Tribolium castaneum: one gene and its partners. The protein of the gene in region 2 purifies or fractionates together with the protein of the main gene of each other region. This does not show direct contact. Links are inferred from orthologs where the notes say so. Each region holds a gene or a part of one and is shown on either strand. Other genes may lie near its edges.

What was found.
Region 1: the proteins of Keap1 (region 2) and Roc1a purify together in Homo sapiens (affinity purification with western blotting; 6 studies listed by BioGRID). This does not show direct contact. The link is inferred for Tribolium castaneum from reciprocal best matches to the Homo sapiens genes KEAP1 and RBX1.
Region 3: the proteins of Keap1 (region 2) and serine/threonine-protein phosphatase Pgam5, mitochondrial purify together in Homo sapiens (affinity purification with western blotting; 6 studies listed by BioGRID and IntAct, with this or other methods). This does not show direct contact. The link is inferred for Tribolium castaneum from reciprocal best matches to the Homo sapiens genes KEAP1 and PGAM5.
Region 4: the proteins of Keap1 (region 2) and Ets97D purify together in Homo sapiens (affinity purification with western blotting; 3 studies listed by BioGRID). This does not show direct contact. The link is inferred for Tribolium castaneum from reciprocal best matches to the Homo sapiens genes KEAP1 and GABPA.
Region 5: the proteins of Keap1 (region 2) and Slik purify together in Homo sapiens (affinity purification with western blotting; 3 studies listed by BioGRID and IntAct, with this or other methods). This does not show direct contact. The link is inferred for Tribolium castaneum from reciprocal best matches to the Homo sapiens genes KEAP1 and SLK.

Annotation. Positions count from the first base shown.
Region 1 is NC_087402.1:12,066,278-12,070,390, reverse strand, and holds Roc1a (RING-box protein 1A), read left to right. Parts: upstream 1-1,305; 5' UTR 1,306-1,401; coding exon 1,402-1,494; intron 1,495-1,546; coding exon 1,547-1,574; intron 1,575-1,623; coding exon 1,624-1,745; intron 1,746-1,796; coding exon 1,797-1,882; intron 1,883-3,935; coding exon 3,936-3,948; 3' UTR 3,949-4,108; downstream 4,109-4,113. Other genes in the region: e(y)3 (titin), read right to left, coding at 468-806, 855-1,002. UniProt on the Homo sapiens protein: E3 ubiquitin ligase component of multiple cullin-RING-based E3 ubiquitin-protein ligase (CRLs) complexes which mediate the ubiquitination and subsequent proteasomal degradation of target proteins, including proteins involved in cell cycle progression, signal transduction, transcription and transcription-coupled nucleotide excision repair.
Region 2 is NC_087395.1:20,688,623-20,692,845, forward strand, and holds the start of Keap1 (kelch-like ECH-associated protein 1B), read left to right. Parts: upstream 1-1,419; 5' UTR 1,420-1,517; coding exon 1,518-1,558; intron 1,559-4,223. UniProt on the Homo sapiens protein: Substrate-specific adapter of a BCR (BTB-CUL3-RBX1) E3 ubiquitin ligase complex that regulates the response to oxidative stress by targeting NFE2L2/NRF2 for ubiquitination.
Region 3 is NC_087401.1:11,765,549-11,769,258, reverse strand, and holds serine/threonine-protein phosphatase Pgam5, mitochondrial, read right to left. Parts: upstream 2,402-3,710; 5' UTR 1,645-2,401; coding exon 1,481-1,644; intron 1,432-1,480; coding exon 1,041-1,431; intron 991-1,040; coding exon 857-990; intron 799-856; coding exon 648-798; 3' UTR 510-647; downstream 1-509. Other genes in the region: stomatin, read left to right, coding at 405-509; dnaJ homolog subfamily C member 30, mitochondrial, read left to right, coding at 3,091-3,373, 3,421-3,710. UniProt on the Homo sapiens protein: Mitochondrial serine/threonine phosphatase that dephosphorylates various substrates and thus plays a role in different biological processes including cellular senescence or mitophagy. Modulates cellular senescence by regulating mitochondrial dynamics.
Region 4 is NC_087401.1:9,468,951-9,473,058, reverse strand, and holds the start of Ets97D (DNA-binding protein Ets97D), read right to left. Parts: upstream 2,809-4,108; 5' UTR 2,694-2,808; coding exon 2,602-2,693; intron 2,558-2,601; coding exon 2,215-2,557; intron 2,167-2,214; coding exon 2,028-2,166; intron 371-2,027; coding exon 1-370. Other genes in the region: protein regulator of cytokinesis 1, read left to right, coding at 3,380-4,108.
Region 5 is NC_087397.1:2,857,084-2,860,597, forward strand, and holds part of Slik (STE20-like serine/threonine-protein kinase), read left to right. Parts: intron 1-929; coding exon 930-1,384; intron 1,385-2,496; coding exon 2,497-2,575; intron 2,576-2,630; coding exon 2,631-2,728; intron 2,729-2,778; coding exon 2,779-3,246; intron 3,247-3,296; coding exon 3,297-3,514. UniProt on the Homo sapiens protein: Mediates apoptosis and actin stress fiber dissolution.

The DNA of each region.
Region 1 (4,113 bases), on a different chromosome or scaffold from region 2:
ATCGCATTTAACCGAATATTTTTTTTAAATAAGATTGATAAAAATAGTTATTAATGACAAGATCTTCCAATAAAACTAGAAAATATATAAGCTATTAATTCTTTGAAAAGCATAAATAATTTATAACAATTACTTCTAGAGAAAATCCGACGTTGGCATTTTTATAATTTCGAAACAGCTAATAATTACGCTAACATTTGATACTGTTCAAAATTTTTAAGACATGACTGTGAAGCACCCCAATGCCCATAGCTGACTTATTAACTATTAACTCAATTAATTAATAAAATATTTGATTTCGGCTGTATTTTTTGGAAACGAAATTTAGTACATTTTGAAACCAAAACATACATGTTCCATTGAAGCCCAGACTAGTGGCTCCCCTAACGCCCGTTTTTTGACACTGGCTGACTTATTAACTAATCATTTAAAATTAATATAAATTAAATAAATATTTGATTTCTTACCTTGCAACATTTGAAGTTCAGCTGAAAACTCATCAAGCTCCATCGCAATGTCTTTATTAGCCCCTCTCAGATCCTTTCGAATCGTAAAATCAAACGAAGTCGTCGGCTCCCCTAACAAATTCTCCAAATCCTGAACAATGTCATCAACATTTTCTGTAATTTTCTCCGTAGAAGTATCCGTAATATTCATATCGAGCAGGTCCTTATCGGACGCAATCGGCGATGGGTTACCACCCCCTGACATCTCCCTCACTAAATTAATAACTGGGTTCGCACTACTCGGGTGTTTCCCCGAATCCAAAGCATCCGAGGATGTGCTACTGATTGGATCGTCAGCAGCTGAACACAATTGAAGTAAGCGCAAGGAAAACTGGAAAAAACACTTACCAATGTGTGACGTTGAAGTGGTTGTAAATGCATCGGTGGAAGACGTTGGGGTTGAATCACAAGACTCACTTTTTTCGTCGGTATTCGATGACAGCAGGTTGCCCATTGTTGAGGTTAACTCGCTTTCGGTGGATTTTTCACTTTCCATTGTCACTTGCACGGGAAAATGGTGCTATTTGGTTGAAAACACACCGTTTATCACAGACAATTAATTACGGGTATAATTAAATGCGGCATTTTTGTTTACGGTTTTAAACGACAAACGCCATCACAAGTGGAAGCTTCGCCAGGAGTGCCAACGGCAACCGTCAGACGAAAATGGCCATTAATAAAATAATTATCAATTAATACAACACTTGTTTACAATTTTAATGCGTTAGCCATCCATTAGTTAAGTTAATAACATTGATTTTCGCAAAATTGGTCATTCTGTGGTGGTTGAAGGGCACCCAACACACGCGTAAAATTCCCCAGTCGAAATTTCACCCCAAACAGTTTGGCAATTAACGTTTGTAAAAACTCACAATTTTGTGTTATTTGGGCAAAAATGGCAGCGGCAATGGACGTGGATGTTGACGAGGTCGAAGTTCCCACTTCGAGCAGTTCCAAGGGTGAAAAGAAGCGTTTCGAAGTGAAAAAGGTAAGTTTGTGAGACATAACCTAACACTTGATGATTTTTCATTTTTATGAAGTGGAACGCCGTAGCGTTGTGGGCTTGGGGTACGCTGTGTCATTTTATTAGACACGTTGGTTTTAATTAAAATTTTAGATATCGTGGTCGATAATTGTGCCATTTGTCGCAATCATATTATGGATTTATGTATTGAGTGTCAGGCAAATCAGGCCTCAGCGACCAGTGAAGAGTGTACAGTTGCTTGGGGAGTGTGTAATGTGAGTAATTTGCTGTTTTTTGAGTTTTGGTTTTAGTGAATCTGGTTTTAGCACGCGTTTCATTTTCACTGTATTTCGAGGTGGTTGAAGACAAGGCAGGTGTGCCCACTAGATAATCGAGAATGGGAATTTCAAAAGTAAGTTTTTTTATTTTAAATGTTTTTCTAACGGGTTAATAGTCCCTTTGTTTTTACAACTTTTACAATACAGAGGGTTTAAATTTTTTATTGTTATACCATCTAGTGGTCAATTAACGATCTACTTTGTTGTGTGACATGGCGGGAAATTTGAATGTCACATTTCACAGTTTTTGTTATAGTAATTTCATAATAATACTTAAACACAGGCTGTCCCAACGATCCCAAAAAGCTCCATAATTTGTTTATTATTAAAGATATTGAGTTTTCCTTTTTTTTAGATACGGGTATGCATATAGAGGATGTTCCAATATAAAAAAACACTAAAGCTATGTTTTTTCAAATGAAACACCCTAAATTTTATTGCATTTTTGCTTAGTTTTTAAAATATTTTGATTTTTTTGACAAAAACACAAAAAATTATTACACAAAAAGGCAGAATCGTAGAATCCCACACGGGGAAAAGTTCAAACTTATAAATCTGTTCCAATTGTTTAGCGTATTACAATTAGAAACAGAAAAATTAAAGTTTATTAAAACTTGAAAAACTTAAATGGAACACTCTATTTTTTGTTATTGCTTCTCAAAAATTACTAAATTACTAAAAACATAAAGTTTCAACTTCCTAAAGTTACTAACTAAAAAGATATTTCACTTTAAACGTTAATTTCAACAACATATCACAACCATAGCAACTCCACCACAGACCACTTGTTGGAGATTATACGGGACTAAAAATTCTATAAGTATTGAAATTTTAATTATTTCACTGTTATAAATGACAAATAATGGCCTAAAAGTAACATTAAAGTTATTATTAGCAGAAAATTTCACTTTTTGACTACTGAAACAATAGGTAATAATTTTTTTATTGTTTAATGTTAAAAATCTTTTGAGTAATCACTAATTAGCGAAAGACCCAACTGTTAATCTTGTCAGAGAGACTATTTAAAGGTCTTTTAGATGCAAAAATAAAAATTGGGTGTTCCATTTAAAATTTTTAAGTTATTCAACTTGCAACAAACCTCTTCATTTTTTATCTTCTTGATTGCAGTAAGCTAATAAAAATAATACATCCTTGGAGTTTGAACTTTCTTTCTTTAAAGTGGTGAAAGTTCCTCTTTTCTGAGATTCTAAGTTTTTATGTAACGATTTTTTTAAAAAAGCGTGTTTTGGCAAAAAAATCCAGTTATTGTAAAAACAAAGCAAAATCGACCTATAACAATTTGAAAAGCTTGAAAACATCTGTGTTAAAAGCTACATCCAAAAATGCAAAAAATATAGGTTGTTCCATTTAAAAAAACAAGTTTGTATTGTATCTAATTTTAGAAACAGCCTGTATACTTGAAAATAATTTTAAGTGGTAGGTACTTTAACTTAAAAAACAGTATAATCGTCAACGTTAGTATTTGTCCTAAGAACGTATTTAAACAACTTAAATAACTTAAATAAAAATCAAAGTAATTTTACTAAAAACTGAATTAATATGTATTTGTTTTCTAACAATTGTTCAATTGTTGTAATATTAATTAATTATTTCGTTTGAATAAATAAACTGTTTCAAAACTATAAAAACGCCAACGTCGCCTGTTACTGAATTATTTTTTTAAACAAAATACATAGAATTTTTAAAATAGTTACTAATGATTAGATCTCTCATTGAAAGTATAAATTACATTAGGTACTATTTTTTAAAGTGCATGAATAATTTATAACAACTAATTTTGAGAAAAAATGCGATTTTGGCGTTTTTATACTTTCAAAATAGCTAATACATATACTGCATTTGCCAAATAACAACGAATAATGAGAAACGCTTTTGTAAAAGTTTTTTAGTTACCGGTATATTGACTTGTTCTCTACAGAAATACATCATCCGATAAATTTCAGAAAAACTCAAACAGTAGTTTACGAAAAAAATCGAAGAAAACAATTTTTAAGAAACTGTAGAAAGTGAAAATAAACTGAAACATGTGATGGTGGTGTAAATTACTTTGATTTTTTTTATTTTATTTTTTATTCTAAGAAAGTACTGATGATGTATTTTTTGCAGGTATGGGCATTGATCGTTATGTTATCAGTAGCATAATACGGTTTTCGGTATTTGATTCTCACCATTTTTTTTCGTAAACTCAACATGTTATAACGGAAATTTAGTTTTTGTATAATCCAGGTCTTGAAATTTTTTGTTACATTTTGTATTTCAATAAATTATTATTCAATTCATACTG
Region 2 (4,223 bases):
ATTAATTGTGAGGTTGGTATCAGTGGATGACAAATAATTTAACACTGCTAAAATTTATTTTTTTTGACGTAGACAGACTGAGAGAAAAATGAAATAGTTAAAATGTTTGTCTACAAAATTTTAATTTCGGTAAAGAATGTATTTTTTTAAGTACAGTGTTTAAAAATGGTTGTTTATCAAGTTGACTATGGAATTCAAGTTCATTGTGCCGCTTCTTCCCAATGACTATTGTGATTTCTCTGTGAAATCTTGAATTAAACTTTTACTCACTTTTTGCATTTTTCAGCAAAGTTTATTTCCGGGATTTTTGATGTTTTGTATTTTTTCGTTTTTGAGTTCGAGGTCTTTTGCATTATTTTGACGGCTCTGTCACTTTGACGGCATTCACAATTTAAATTAAGCGGCACATTACGTTCAAATTTCATTGGTGGCTTGATGAACAACCATTTTTGAACACATTGTATAAAATACCGGGTGAACAAAAGTGACTGTTTCCAGTACTGTAATCGAAAATGATTTTTATTGATAAATAGTTGACGAAAGTTGTTTCCTTTTTATAATAATTACAAGTGTCAAGTATTAATCTGTCGACAACCGGAAGGCACTTTTAAGATAAAAAAAAATATTGTAGCCAATTTAGACACTCTTTTTTATCATCTGTTATTTCTTCGCATAGCCATCGAGATTTTGTCGATCTAATATTATGACCTAAATTCTCACTAGGAATTAGTAATTCAACTTGATTTCAATCGCCTATAAACATGGTGATTTTGTGTAGCTATTTATTGGTTATCGAATTATTTTTTATCAATTAATTAGCAATAATTTTAATATGAATTTTTCATCATCGATGTAGACTAAGAAATTTGCCAATTTTTCTATCTTCTGTAACTATTTAGACAATTTTAGCTTTACATATGGTGATGTTTCTGTACTTGCAAAAGTATTTGGTATTTTCGTTTTCCTGACATTCCAGGAAAATACTTATCGAAACAATGCATTGTCTTTTATCTTAAAAATCTGTATAATAAAAAATGATGTGACTGAAATCTATTTTTAAAAATGAGAATTACAGGCTGTTGCAGGAAGTAAATTTCAGTTGGGTCCTGCCAAAAATCTGTTAAGGTTATTAACCACTCCATTTTTTCTAGTCATTCTGACGTTGTTGTAATAAATAATAATCACATTTTCCCATCTTATCAGGTGTGTTTTAATTAGAAACAACGTAAATAATTTTTAATGCATAAAAATGACCACTGTTAGCGTGCAATGTAAACTTCTCACGCATTCTTGTCTTGACCTACGTTAAGGTTTGTAACCGGCGGCTTTTAAAAGTCATCATGTCATTCGCTGTTGCAAATCAGAAAATAACAAAACAAGTTTCTTGATATATTCAATAGATAAAAGTTTTTGATTAAATTTATTATCCATCATGTTCAGTTGTGGAGTAACGGTGGAGCATGGAGGACCATTGTTCGAGCTGTGATATATTAGTGCGTAATGTGTAGATAAAAAAAATGATTTCTCCCAGCGATAGTGGTTGGCCGGCAGATTTAGAGTAAGATTGCAAGTCATTTAGTTGATACTGGAATTTATTTTGTATGTTTCAAGGCTGAACATGCAATCACAAATAATGATACTCTAATTTGTTGTTTGTTGGTTTTAACAGTGTCGGTAACCGGACACTAATTAATCCCTTCTTCTGGTGTTATAAATTGATTTTTTGTTTCTTGTGTCTTTGGCGAGAAATGTTTTCCTGAGTCAATTCTTTGAAACATTCTATTTGAAAAATCCAGTAATAGTTTTTGCTGACGAATGTTTGTCGTATGAAGATCTTAATTGCACGAGCAATAAAACGACAATTTATGCATAATTAACTGATCATTTGTTTGGCTAAGATGTGGGCCGGTAATGTGTTGTTATCTTTGTGGTAACCAGAAAAGTATGATCGCGCCACGAGTGAGTGTGGAGATCATCAACTTTTTGACTTCGTTATCAATTGTCACGAAAAAATATTTATGATTTATTTGTAATAAATTAGTAATACTAATAATATAATTTGCAGTATTGAGATATTAGACCTAGCAACTTTTTAATGATTAATAAAATACATATTAGAGTTTAGCGTTGATAGGTAATAGAAATCATTCAATTATGTACGTACTCGTATAGCTTGTGTTATTTTACTTGTAACTTACAAGTATTTGAAACGATATTCTACAGGACTCTTTTAAGATACATATTTTAAAATTTTCGTTGAAAATTATAGTCACCAAAATAGCAGAATGTGTCTTATTAGCCATCAGAATCCAACTTTGGATTACTAACAAATTTTGAACTCAAAAACAACTATTTTTTAATTTATTAACATTTTGAAAGTATGAAAGGTGCATAATAGCAATATTTTAGAAGATAACTTTGCTTTACAATCATTTCTTATCTTTATTATTATTTAAATTTTTCACTTTAGACTTTAGATACAATTGCTTTTTTAAAATAATTTTTATTTTTTCAGTTAATAAATAAAAATTCGATACCTGTTTCTTGTTTTCAAATTTTATTTTTGTAATATCTGTTTCAAAACTAAATTGGTCACTAGAGTCCAATTTAACACAGAATTAAACCTTATTTCTACACCCTTTTAGCACCAGGTAAAGTTTCGACTTCTAGACCGTAAACACCTAGTATTTATGGTCGCCGCACTTTTGAGATTATGTTGTCTTATGCTGGTTTTACACAGCATATGATATGACTAAAGTTATACTTCACTTTCAAGGTTTGCTCTAATATGAGATCGAAAATATTTTCGATCTCACGTTAGTAAGATTTTTCTTAATACTCTCCTTACCACAGATCTTTTTCTGATTTTCTGCATAATATAGTTCAGTCTTTTCATTTCAAAAGTGGAACTTTTGATTTTAAGTAAATAATACAGGTTGCTCAAAAACCGGCGCATCAACTCAATGGTGTGTCGTAGAGAAATGCTAGAACACCATGATTTTTTTATGTATCGATAGTATTTCGAATGAGCTTTCTAATGAAATAGAGTTTGCATAGCAAATATAAAATATTTTTCGAGATTTAAAAAATATATGTATTTTATTACAAGAAAATATGCTTAGAATCTGATAGTCAAATGGTACATTTTTGATATGTACTGATGTGACTAATTACATTAGTAATCTAATTATTACCTAATACATAAATGAATTTCATTCATCAAGAATTATTAACAAAATAAATAAAACATATTTTTTTACTCTTTTGAACACTTTAAGAAATATTGTAAATTTGGTAAACAAACCGCATATCATTAGAAAGCCTATGAAACATACTATCGATACATGTAATGGCACACCCTGTACATTTCAAGTAAAAGTCGACTATTTCTTAAATCTACAAGGTATTCTGACAGGGGGGTCACCCTGTATAAAAAGTAAAATTGTAAAAAAATCTATGTATAAAAGTTACTGATAAATAACGAATCAATGTGATCGTAATTGAATTTGATCAAAAATAAAAATGAAATATTTTTTAAGTTGTTTCCTAGAAAATAGTACCAAGTGTTTGCGATTTTTTATTGAATTTTATTTTTTTTTAACAAAAAAACTGCTAAAGTCTGATAATAAACTTAAAAATAATTATTCACCATTGTGTTAGGGAACGATTACGTAGTGCGAAACATAAAACGATTAAAAATAATGAAAACTGAAGAAGTTAATAAAATAAGTTTGTCGCTCCAAATTTTTGAAAATATGACTTTAGTAATATTTTCAAGATTTTTCCCGTAATCCACACATGCTTTTCAACAACAACAGAGTTGGTGCATTGGTTTTTGAAGCAGCCTGTAGATCCAATATGTTCAAAAAAAAATTTTTTAATGCTAAGATCAGAGCAAAGAATCAGAACATAGGAGCTGTTATAGTTTTCAAGTTCTCGCAAACTTGGTTTTGATTTAGTACCAAAGCAATGTTTTTTATTTTTCCTTTTAGTCATTTTGAAAATTATTTCTCTGTGTGTACATGTTTACATACAAATTAAATTAACTAGTGTTATCTGTGTGATGATGTAAACGTAAATGACATATTGATAGCGGCATTTTAGGTACCATCAAAGACTAAATAATTGGGAGTAAAAAATTTTCGACCAATAAACCATTTTCTCCAAGTCTGTGCATACAGGATTTTTCACTTAAGAAACTGCCCCTGATTGAAAATAGTGGT
Region 3 (3,710 bases), on a different chromosome or scaffold from region 2:
TTTAACGGAGCTTTATTATTATTATTATTATTTAATTAGAAAAGTAAAACCTTACGTTACTCCATTGGTATCCTTAAAAATGTAGGTCCAGTGTTGCCAACAGACTCAGTATTTCTGGATCAGTCTGTACATCTATTTACGTAATACCTTAATTCATTAATTAAATTAATTACAATTATTAATTTACACTAAAATATAGTTCATGTTACAAAAGTAAAAGCACGAAATCATGCTTTCAAGCAGATGAAACCTCAGAAAGAATGTTTATTGACGTTTTGAGCCCAGAGTCTGAGTTGGGCCCTTTGCTATCAGTCGGGGTTTATAGGGGTGACATTCTTTATGGCAGTGAGTGTACAATTTTCCGAAGTTGTAGTGAACTAATGAATTGTTTTTTTTTGTTTCAGTTGAGGTATTTACAAACACTGAGCAATATTTCAGCTGAGAAAAACTCAACGATTGTTTTCCCCATTCCGATAGAGCTTTTTAGTCATTTTAAAAGAGGCAACTAATTGTAGTTTTGTATTCTTTAATTTGGTGTTACAAAATCAAAAATAAAAAGTGATTCCAGGCAAAAAAATAATACTTAAAAATACATTTACATGAATAAAAAAAATGTGTTTTTGCGCTTATTATTGAATGATAAAAATTTATCGACTAGTGACGACATCTGGCGGCATGTGCCCGCTATCGCCCAAACACCTTAAGACCACGCGCCCACTTGGAGTAATACTAATCCAAGTAATACTAGCATGGTTCAAAGACATCCTCAACCATGCCTCGGCTGGTAATTGCAGTGCCCTAAATTACCAACCCAATTAATTCAAATTCAAATCAACTCAATTTAAAGGGGAATTACCTGCACACAAAATACCGAATCACATTAGCATGACACACTAAAACAGTATACGAGTCTTCCTTTTGTTGGGGCGCAGCCCTATGGAAATATCTACGAAAAGCGGCCTCAATTCGTGCCCCATCAACGAAAAACTTCTAACAAAAGTAATTAAATCGAGCCAAAAACCACTAGTGGTGTTACTTACATACATTTCTTGCTTCCATGACCCGATCGGGGGCTCCGGAGGTATGGGGGCCCCTTCACGCAACAAATCGCAGTTTTTAACCGGAACGTCGGGGAGAGAAACTGAGATAATTGAACCAGTCTCTTGCGCACGAGACATTGTCGATTTGATTATTTTTGTATACGGTAGACCCAACTCTTTGAGCCTTTTCCCCGTATATTCAGCTTGAATTTTCCCTAGTTTTGTTAAAGTCCGGTCTTCGTCCGTTTGGCCATTAACATTGTATTGACCATGACGTATCAGAATCAAATGTCGGACTGACTTAGCTTTATTTAATTCAATTTCGCTATGAATCTGATTGTTATTCTCATCTTTGGAGTATTTCGGGTGTGATAAAAATTTCGGCGAGCGACTACAATTGACTATTAGCTAAAAAATTACCGGGTTTGTGTCACGATTACTGGTCCCAATTATCGTCCCATCTGGCATGTGGCGAAGGCTCGTAATTCGACGTCCAAGAAGCGTAAACTGTCTTATTTGAACCGTTCAAAAAGTAGTAAGTTGCGGCCCCCGAAGCCGCACACACACCCAGAAACAGCTTGTTCATCTTCGAAAATGGGCGCATGTTGGATGAATTGTAGAAAATTCAATGTTTGTTTACGGTTTAAGTGATAATTCTTATCGGGAAATGTGAAGCTCAATTTGCAAAGTGAGGTTAAAGCTGTCACAGTGACAGTTACAAGCCATTCACAGGGTGGTGAAACCTAAATGCACCAAGCCAAGTATAGGCGCCAAATTCAAAATCGACTGTAGTTCGGCTTGCTATCGCAGATGTCGCACACACGTATAGTCAATTTTAGCGAAGCTACCTATAATATCGGCAGAAATTAACAGTGGACCTGTGACAGTTGCCATTGTGTAAATCGCCATTTTGTGCTTGGTTTGTTTGGTGTTCGCCTTCGGCTTTGTTTTATGTGAAATTAGTACTGTTTTGTGGTTTTTTTCGTGTGTGTGCTTTTTTGAACTTTTTTATTGTGGGAATATAAATAATTTGATGGATCAATCATTAGTTTATAGTTATCGTATCGTGTATATTGACTAGTGATAATAAATTTTTATTACAAGTTTATTGTCTTTATTTATTCTCATATTTTATTTTTCGTATTCTTTGTAAATATTCAGCAACAATAGTTGTCTAACATCAGAAAGTGTTATTAGCAACTATTGTTGTGAATATTTACAAACAATACGAAAAATGCAATCAAACTTTAAAAGAAAAGTAACTACGGGCAATTCAAATCGCCCGCCGATAACGCTTAGTACGCGCTGGCAACAATAGATGTGCTAGTGACACTTTCGCTCTATCGGGACAAGGACAGATGCGTTTCTGTAAAACCTGTTATTCTGTGGCCATTCAGTACACATAGCAGTGGAAATAGCACTAAAAATGATGTTGGTACCATGAAAATTACAGTCGACCAGACAATCGCTGTGCGCATGGAGCCTCCTTTATATCCTGCAATTTTTTTATTTTTGCAGGAGATTAAATCCTTCGATTTACGGTCAAAGGCCTTATCAAAGGGCTTAATCTCCAGCAAAAATAAAGAAAATTGCAAGATATAAAGTAGTTAAAAAAAAAAAAAGTTGCGCGCAGCGATTATCTGGTCGACTGTAATGTTAATGGTGCCAGCACCTGTCTCCACCGACATTCAGTACACCAACTTAGGACCAAAAAAAATTAAATAGGAGTAATTTATATTTTATAGTCAGAGGGTAGTTTGGATTATTATTCACACAAATCCTATGTACCAAGTTTGGGTGCAATGTGGCGTAAAACGATTTTTTGTGCTAAAAACCGGCGTCCGGTTTACTGAAATCAGTCGATTTTTTGACGTTTGACATTTTTTCGACTTGGATTTAATTGTGAAATAATCACAAAACTCAAAAAGAACGGTAACTAAAAGCTTGTGTAGTTCAATCTCTGTTCACTAAGCTTGTTTTTAGTCATTACTTCAAGTCAAATCAATTGATTATGTCGTCATAAAACTCGTCCGTTAAATCTAACCTCAAGATGTACCCCTCTCGTTCCTATATTTGGTTTTTGGGGCCCCAGTTACGTAAATTCCACACCTCCTTTTTCCTCCGATCTACTAAAGGTAAAAGCCATTACGACTCTCTTGGAATTTCCTCAAAAGCAACGCAAGCTGACGTCAAATCCGCTTATTACAAACTTTCAAAAGTTTACCATCCTGATCGAAATAAAGACAGCGACGACGCCGCACAGAAATTTCGCGACATCACCGAAGCCTACGAAGTGTTAGGGAACGTGAAATCACGCAAACTTTATGACAGAGGTACTTTTGAAAAATTTTAAATAAATTTCTATTAATAACATTTGAAGGTTTATACTTTGAGGGGGTAACATCAGGGGTTGTACGAGACGACCCACCGTTGAACAAGTTTTACAAGTCGAGGGACACACAATCAAGGCCTCCCTCAGAATATGGGAGGACCACAGTTTATGATTTTGATGAATGGTCAAAGGCGCATTATGGGGCCACTTTTCAGAACACTCTGAGATTCAAGGCGAGGGAAAAAATGAAAATGAAACGAGAAAAAGAATTAGCCGAACATGTGAAAACGGAAAAATTGGTTTTAATGACTGTTCTTTTTGCAATTATGGCGGCTTAT
Region 4 (4,108 bases), on a different chromosome or scaffold from region 2:
TTTTGTTTCATGACATGTGGTTCCTCACGGTCTTCTTTTTTTGTCGCAACGACTTTCATTTTTCGTAGCAATTCAAGATGCGTCCAGAAGATGTCACCAGGATCGTATGGAACAATTTTCTGGAAATCGCTGACGGTCAAATTGTATAATTCACGCCCCGTCATTGACCAATCAGATAATTTAATGCTAGGCAAGTTGAATTGACGGACCGCCCATTGCACCCAATGACGGACGTGCACTTGTGACCATTCCATTGGATCGTGAGGGATTTTAAGGCGGTCTTGTTCACGCTTGTAGGCCAGATCGACCTGCCATTGGACGACGGCTTTCGGGGGCGGGGCTTGGCACCGCTCACTTTGATTCAACTCATCTGAAATAACAGTTTTGGCGAAAATTTTACAATAATTAACCGACCGTAATAAAATTTCACCCTCCTTAAAAGGTTTTAAATAAAGACAAGTTGCAACATTCATCAGACTAAAAAACATACATATTAAAAATACAATATAACCAAAATTAATTACTAACCATTCTTGGAAGTGAACGTTAGAAGATAGAATTAATCTGAATGAATTTTGAATTAATTTAAAAGATTAACAAAAATGAGGCTTACAATAACAAGCACTGTCTTTTGACACCAACTAAAAAGATCTTAGTTAAAAAAAATACGTAGGAATGAGTGGAACGTGTTATTATTTAAAAAAAATTGAAAAAACATTAATATTATTTTCTGAAAATATTTTTTTAATTAGTTTGAAATAAAATTTCAAAAAGAACCATTACATTTTTAATGTAAACAAAAATAACTTTTAAAAATTGATACTTTACTTGCAATTATTATTAAATAACCAAAATACTGACGTTAAAATTAAATATAATTAACGTCAAAAAGATTATAATTAAAATCCTAATCACAATACTATTAAAAAAAAGAGACAAAACATGTTAAAAAATGATGAAAATTATGTGTTATTATCATTACTTTTTCATGTAAATTTTACTAAATTTATCAGTACGTGATTTGAAATTAAGAATAATATTTTTATTTTTTTTTAGATTAAATCATTTCGGAAGTAAGACATTTTAGAAGTTTTTGATTTTAGTTTGCTAAAGACAAGATTTAATATTTAGATTTCTTGTAAGATAATTGTTCAGTATAAAAATACGAAACTTTGCCCTAATTTTAATTACCATTTGATTTTGATTTTAGGCTAACAAATTTTCTTGTAATAAAATATACTTTTCTGAAAGATCTCAGAAAATATTTTAGATTTGCTATGCAAACCGTATACCACTAGAAAGCTTATTAAAAATTCAATCGCTACATGAAAAAAATACAAGATGTTCAATTTGAAAAAATGAGTTATTTAACTTTTTGCGTTTTGGCACACCTGTACATTAGCTGCGTGTTTCAAGTAAAAGTCGACTATTTGCTAAAACTACAAGGTATTTTAAGTTTTTCTACTCCAAATTTATCGGAAAACATTCATAAGCGACTTCACAGTCATTTTTCAAATGTTGGTCTTTTTTATAACGAAAAGTTGAATAATTCCGAAACGAATAATAATAGTTTACATAAAGATGATAGTTTATGTAGAGTGTTCCATTTAGAAAATATATAACTTTGGCTCACCACCCTGTGTATAATGTAAATATTTTTATGACAATCTATCAGATAATGAAAACTGTATGGGAATGTTTCAAATGGCAAAAAAGTTATGGGCTGACTTACATACCCTTGGGTCACGTTGTATGAAAAAATAGAACTAATTGGTTGTAAAATATTGGCTAGAAATTTTGAAAGGTTATAAAACAGTGTTACTAAAATTAATTCCATCTATTAATAATCACTTCCAAAAATTTAAAGAAGTAAAAAGGTCAGTATTTAATTGTGTTTATATTGTATCTTTAATATGTATGTTTTTTAGCCTGATGCTGTTTATTATATAAACGAAACGTTGCAACTCGCAAACCTTTTAAAGAAGTTGGTCCTACAGTCGTTTTATTACAATTTTTCAGTAACTAACCGACGTGAATATAGTCTTCTGCTGGCTTAAGGACGTCCAAAATATTAATTCGTTTCAAATTCGCTTGTAACTGGACATTGATTTGGACCAAACCTTGGCCTTGCACACACTGTTCCACGAGATTTTTGTCATTTTCCAGCTAAAACCTTCTAACTAGTGGTACAAAACTCACACAGTTAACACACACCATTTGTGTCCCCTGCAAATAGAACGAATAATCGGCGAGGCTCAAGCCGAGCCTTTGCTCCAGCAACTGGCGCAGTTTGAGGAGCGGCTCCTGTATGTCCATATGTTGCATTATGAGACTCGAGTGTGTGTCCTCGACGTTCATCAAATCCGAGTCCAATTCTTGCATCAAATGGTCGTCGAAATCGCTCGCACTTTCAAGTGAATTGATCATTCCCAAATGAACCGAATCGTCATCAGTTGTGATTTCGTCGAAATCGTCACCCGCTGACTCCAATTTGACGCTACGAAACGACCCAGGGGGCTGGTACTGCACCATATTGCCCTCATCGTCAATCACAAAACTGAAAGTGAGGTTAGGTGGGGCCACTCTAAAAAGCAACTTCACCTCTTCGACTTGTCCGACTGTGACTTGTAGACTTTCTGGCCGAACTCGTTCTGAGTCAAGATGAATGTTTGCACTTTTGTCTTCTCGCACATTATTAAGGATTATTCAATTATTTTCATATTATTATTATTATTGGTAAATGACAAGTCAACAAATGTCGGTGAGGGCAGCACTGACACCATGAACATTACAGTCGACCATTTCTCCACCATTCTCGTTTTCTACAGCCAAGTTCACACCAGGAAAAATTATTAAAATAATTGTAAATCTTTATAAAAACATCAATAAGCTGTTACACTGACCATATCACATGTGTAGAACATCTCCTGACCAATCTAATGTGTTTCTATTAGAAATTAAAACTTAACTGCATTTCATTTCTGCATTTTTTATTCTCATGTCCAAGCAATGCAAACTGATTTTTTCACTCCCTTTATATCCTGCAATTTTCTTTATTTTTACAGGAGATTAAGCCCTTCGATAGGGCATTTGACTGTAAAAAAATCATGTTCGGACAAACACCTCTTGGTTGGGAAACTTTAAAAAATCTTTAAAAAAATAAAGTTTGCAAAATAGAGTAACTTTATAAAAATTAAAAAAATTCGTTAAGGTCGCAAGAGGTGTTTGTCCGAACATGATTTTTTTACAGTCGAAGGCCTTATTAGAGGGCTTAAGTTACTGCAGAAATAAAGAAAATTGCAAGATATAAGGTAGGTAAAAAAAATTGAAAAATAAAGAAACTTCATAAAAATTTAAAAAATTCGTTATCGATAAAATAATGAAACTGTTAGAGAAACTCGAAAATCTCTGTCGCGACCTCCACGTCCCAATCCCCACTTTCAACTACGAAGGGGTTCCTCTGAGTGAGGTGCGCCTCCAAATCGTCCAAAAGGTGGACGAATTCGAGGCTTTGGCCCAGATTCGCCGACGGGAGTTTAGCGAGTTGCAGCAGAAAGAGCTCAAACTGTGTGCCTGTCTGGGGCGGGCCCCCCTCCCGTTGCCCCCCGAGCTGGAGGAGTTGAAGGCCTATGTCGAGAACCTGGAGACGGAGGCGATGGAACGGGAGGAGGTTTTCTTCCAACTGAAGGAAAAAATCGTCGAGATTGTCGTCTCCGAACTAGAGATGTGCCCTAATCTAGAGTTCGAGAAGGATATTTTGAATTTGTCCAATACCCAAGTGCGCATAACCGACGCAGAAATGGAGCAGTTGCGGCAGTTCCACGACCAGTTGGTCAAGCGCCTCGCTGACGTGACCGAGGAGGTTGAAGAGTTGAGGAGCAGGATCGACGATTTGTGGAAAAAATTGGAGGTTGATTTGGTGGAGCGTGATGATTTCCGGGCGAGACACGTGGGGCACTCGTTGAAGACGCTGGAGGCGCTTAAAGAGGAGTTGAATAGGTTGAAGGCGATGAAAAAGGCCAAGCTTCAGAGTTTCATTTTAAAGCAACGAGATGAGCTCGAAGAATGGTGGGAAAAGTGTCACTGTACACAAAAACAACGCGATGAT
Region 5 (3,514 bases), on a different chromosome or scaffold from region 2:
CAGGAGGTCCGGAAGCACCACAAATGGCAATAATCCACCTTGGTTTTAAACCACGATTTGCCAATTTCTATGAATTGTAAAAATAAATTGTTGAGGTTTCAAATTCTTACAAAAACATAAAAACTAAAGTTATTTCCGTATAAATCTCAAACACAGGATATTGAGTAAAGGTAATACCCCGAAACTGAGAAGGATATGGTCGTTGAAATGGAAAAAATCGAATTATTTCGACATCATGCTGCTATTTTAGGCATGAAAGATTGACTAGTTAAGGCGTTTGTCAGTTCCTTTTTTTAGAGTTTGAATTGACTTGTTGTAGGTTAATTTATTAGGTTAATTGAAACATAAATAGCAAGGTCATAGGTCAGTTTTGCGACACTATTTTAATAAATGAAGGCCTGGATTTGTAAAAAATAAAAAAATAAATATAAAATGTTAGTTGAGAGTCGTGTTAACGGTAGTAAACAAAAGGTTAATACTAAATGTGCGATTGTTAGAGACTTGGCTGTTGTTAAAGCCTGCTTAAGCAGATAGTATTTTTTTTTTGTTGAAAGAATGCATTGAACAAATTACGAAACAAAGGACTCACGAATCGTCAAATTCCTTTTTTTAAACCTAAAATCTGTATTTATAACTGAGATCAGTGGTCATATTATTAATACACTGTACTCTCATGGGCTTTAATCATTTTGATCATGAATAAACTGAGACTGAAGATAAATAGCCAAATCAATATTAGTTGAGCAAATGACATGGTTTATAAATAATCTTTTAGAACTAACGTTAAAACTTCTAGTTCTTGACTTCATTCAGAAAAATTTGTTCCTTAATTTGCAGTTTTTTTGTCAGTTTGCGAAAAAAGTGCCTGTCTGCGCTTTATTATTGTTTACTCTGTTGGTGGCAATTAACATCTGATTATGTTCCGCCAGCCGACTTCGGAGTCTCCGCTAAAAATAAAAGCACGATGCAAAAACACGACACGTTCATCGGAACGCCATACTGGATGGCCCCCGAAGTGGTCCTTTGTGAGACTTTCCGCGACAATCCGTACGATTTCAAAGTGGACGTGTGGTCGATGGGCATAACTCTCATTGAATTCGCCCAAATGGAGCCACCCAACCACGAAATGTCACCCATGAGGGTGTTACTCAAAATCCAAAAATCCGATCCGCCCAAATTGGAACAACCGTCGAAGTGGTCGAAGGAGTTTAACGATTTCGTGTCAAATTGTCTGGTCAAGGATCCGCAAAAAAGACCAACCTGTGACGAGTTGTTGAAGCATCCGTTTATTAATTGTACGCTGGACTCGAAACCGATCAGGGATTTGTTGTTGGAGTACAAGGCGGAGGTTGTTGAAGAGGAATTGACAGATGATGATCCCGAGGTAAGGATGGGGGCTGATTGTGGGGTTATCGGGTTGCACTGTTGGTGTAACTGTCACTCGGTTCTTAAGCTTTTGTACATAATTTCATGCTTAGCGGGGTAGGAAACATCGCAAGCACAAAGAGCTTTATCAGAGAATTGGTAAGTTTACACACGGGTGCATCTTAGACAGAATTTTATTTTTTTTACATCTTTCAAATATTCAACCATCTCTCAAATCTATAAATTATATTTTTTTTGTAATTGTCAACCTCATTAAAGCAACAAAATAAGAAAAAAAAATGGATGCTATTATTTGAGAAGGTTTTTGATTTTTTTTCAAGATTTTGAAACATACTATACCTTTTTTACGTCTGTGGACATTAACGGATAAATAATATTTGTGAGCAAACAACGTGGTGTTAGGAGAATAGAAATGTCTGTCGCGTATCAATAAAAAAATCGGAAGGACATTCCTTGTAGCAAAAACAAATAAATATGTTACCTTTAATGTGACCTCTAATACATAAAATAATTTGACAAGATAGTTAATCAACAAAATTTTTGTTTTTGTACTATTGTGCATGGCAGTCTTTGCTAGAGTTTGAAAATGGTTTATAATTTTTAATCTGTGTGATGGTTGAATAACTCGAGAATCGTACTATGGATGTTAGGAAAAAAATTAAAATAAGTTAATAATTTAGTTGGTGCAAATATTTATGTAAGAAATTATTTAAAGATAAACAGTTGCATATAATAAAGTGGCCTTTATTGCTGCGAGAGCAGTGACCGATTGAAAAGTTTTTTGTTTTAAAATTTAGGTTTTAAAGCTTTATACAAAAATTGCAAGCTTTTTTAGTTTCCAATTATGTACCACTCCTATTTATGTTAAAAAATCATTTGTCACAATTATTCTCTTGGTAGTTTGAGGTGATAATAATAAACGTAAACCCAAAACTTCCTCTAATTTATGTTATCACGGCTTGTTTGTTATGCATGCGGCTCTCCGGGCCCTCCTTCGCCTGGCATGTTGGCCCAGGTGAGAAAATCAGTTGGCTTTTGCTATTTTCCGCTTAGATTTTAGTTAGAAACACGTAGTTTTTGAAACGAAAAATTGAATAAAAATTATTTTAGGACAACCGCACTTCTCATGTTCCTCTGGATATAGAAGATGACTCCACTTCTGTAAAGAGCAGCGAAGTTGACAATAAAGGTACTGTGATATTTTGACTAAATAAAAACAAAAAATTGATTGTGAAAATTTGCAGTAAATGACCTAGAATCTCCCGTAATTAATGTAGAAGAAGAAACTGCTAAAGATTTGACAGCTTCGACGCCTAGCAATGTCCAAGCCGACAAAAAACCGGTAAGTGGTTCGCAATCAATCGAAAATAGAAAATTTATAAAATTTGTCAGCTGGAGAAGAAAGACGAAGTCCAGAGGAAAACCTCCCGGGATAAAGGTAAAGCGCCCCCACCTCCCATCCAACCCCAAGCGAGTTCGTCGACTGAGAAACCTCCAGCCCCGGCTGCACCTGTCGCCATTCCCAACCTACCAACGCCCCCATCTTCGCCCATCACACCTCCAGCAACTCCGCCAAGTTCTAGTCCAGTTCATCCAGGTAGCGAACCCGCAAAACCCGAAGAAAACAAAGACAACGTCGATAATATTAAAGAAGTATTAGAAAAACAATTGAAGAAGCGGCAGTCTGAAGGCGACGTAGCGAGTGAGGGAGTCACAGTCAGTGCGACATCTGACGACACTGTTAGTAACTTTGTTGTGGTTTCGTCACAATCTGAACGAAACAAACTAAACACTTCCACTATCACCATTAACTCTGATCTTCCCGATCCCTCAAACAGTTTAGCGTCGAATATCAGTCAGGTGAGTTGGCTTAGGTGCGTTTGTCGTTTGTTTCATTTGGCGGATTACAGGTGACTGTAGTAACGACTCATCCGCCCGTTATTATCGACAATACTCAATGCGTGTCGCGATCTTCAACTTCCCCCAGTAATAGTACAAACGAGGTCGTGATAGTTGCGAACGAAACGAATAAAACACACGTTGAATCATCAGACGATGAATGTTACCCGAGTTTGGATTCGTTGGAATACCCCCCACCCAGCGAGTTCCGCGACAGGCCGCTCAAAGC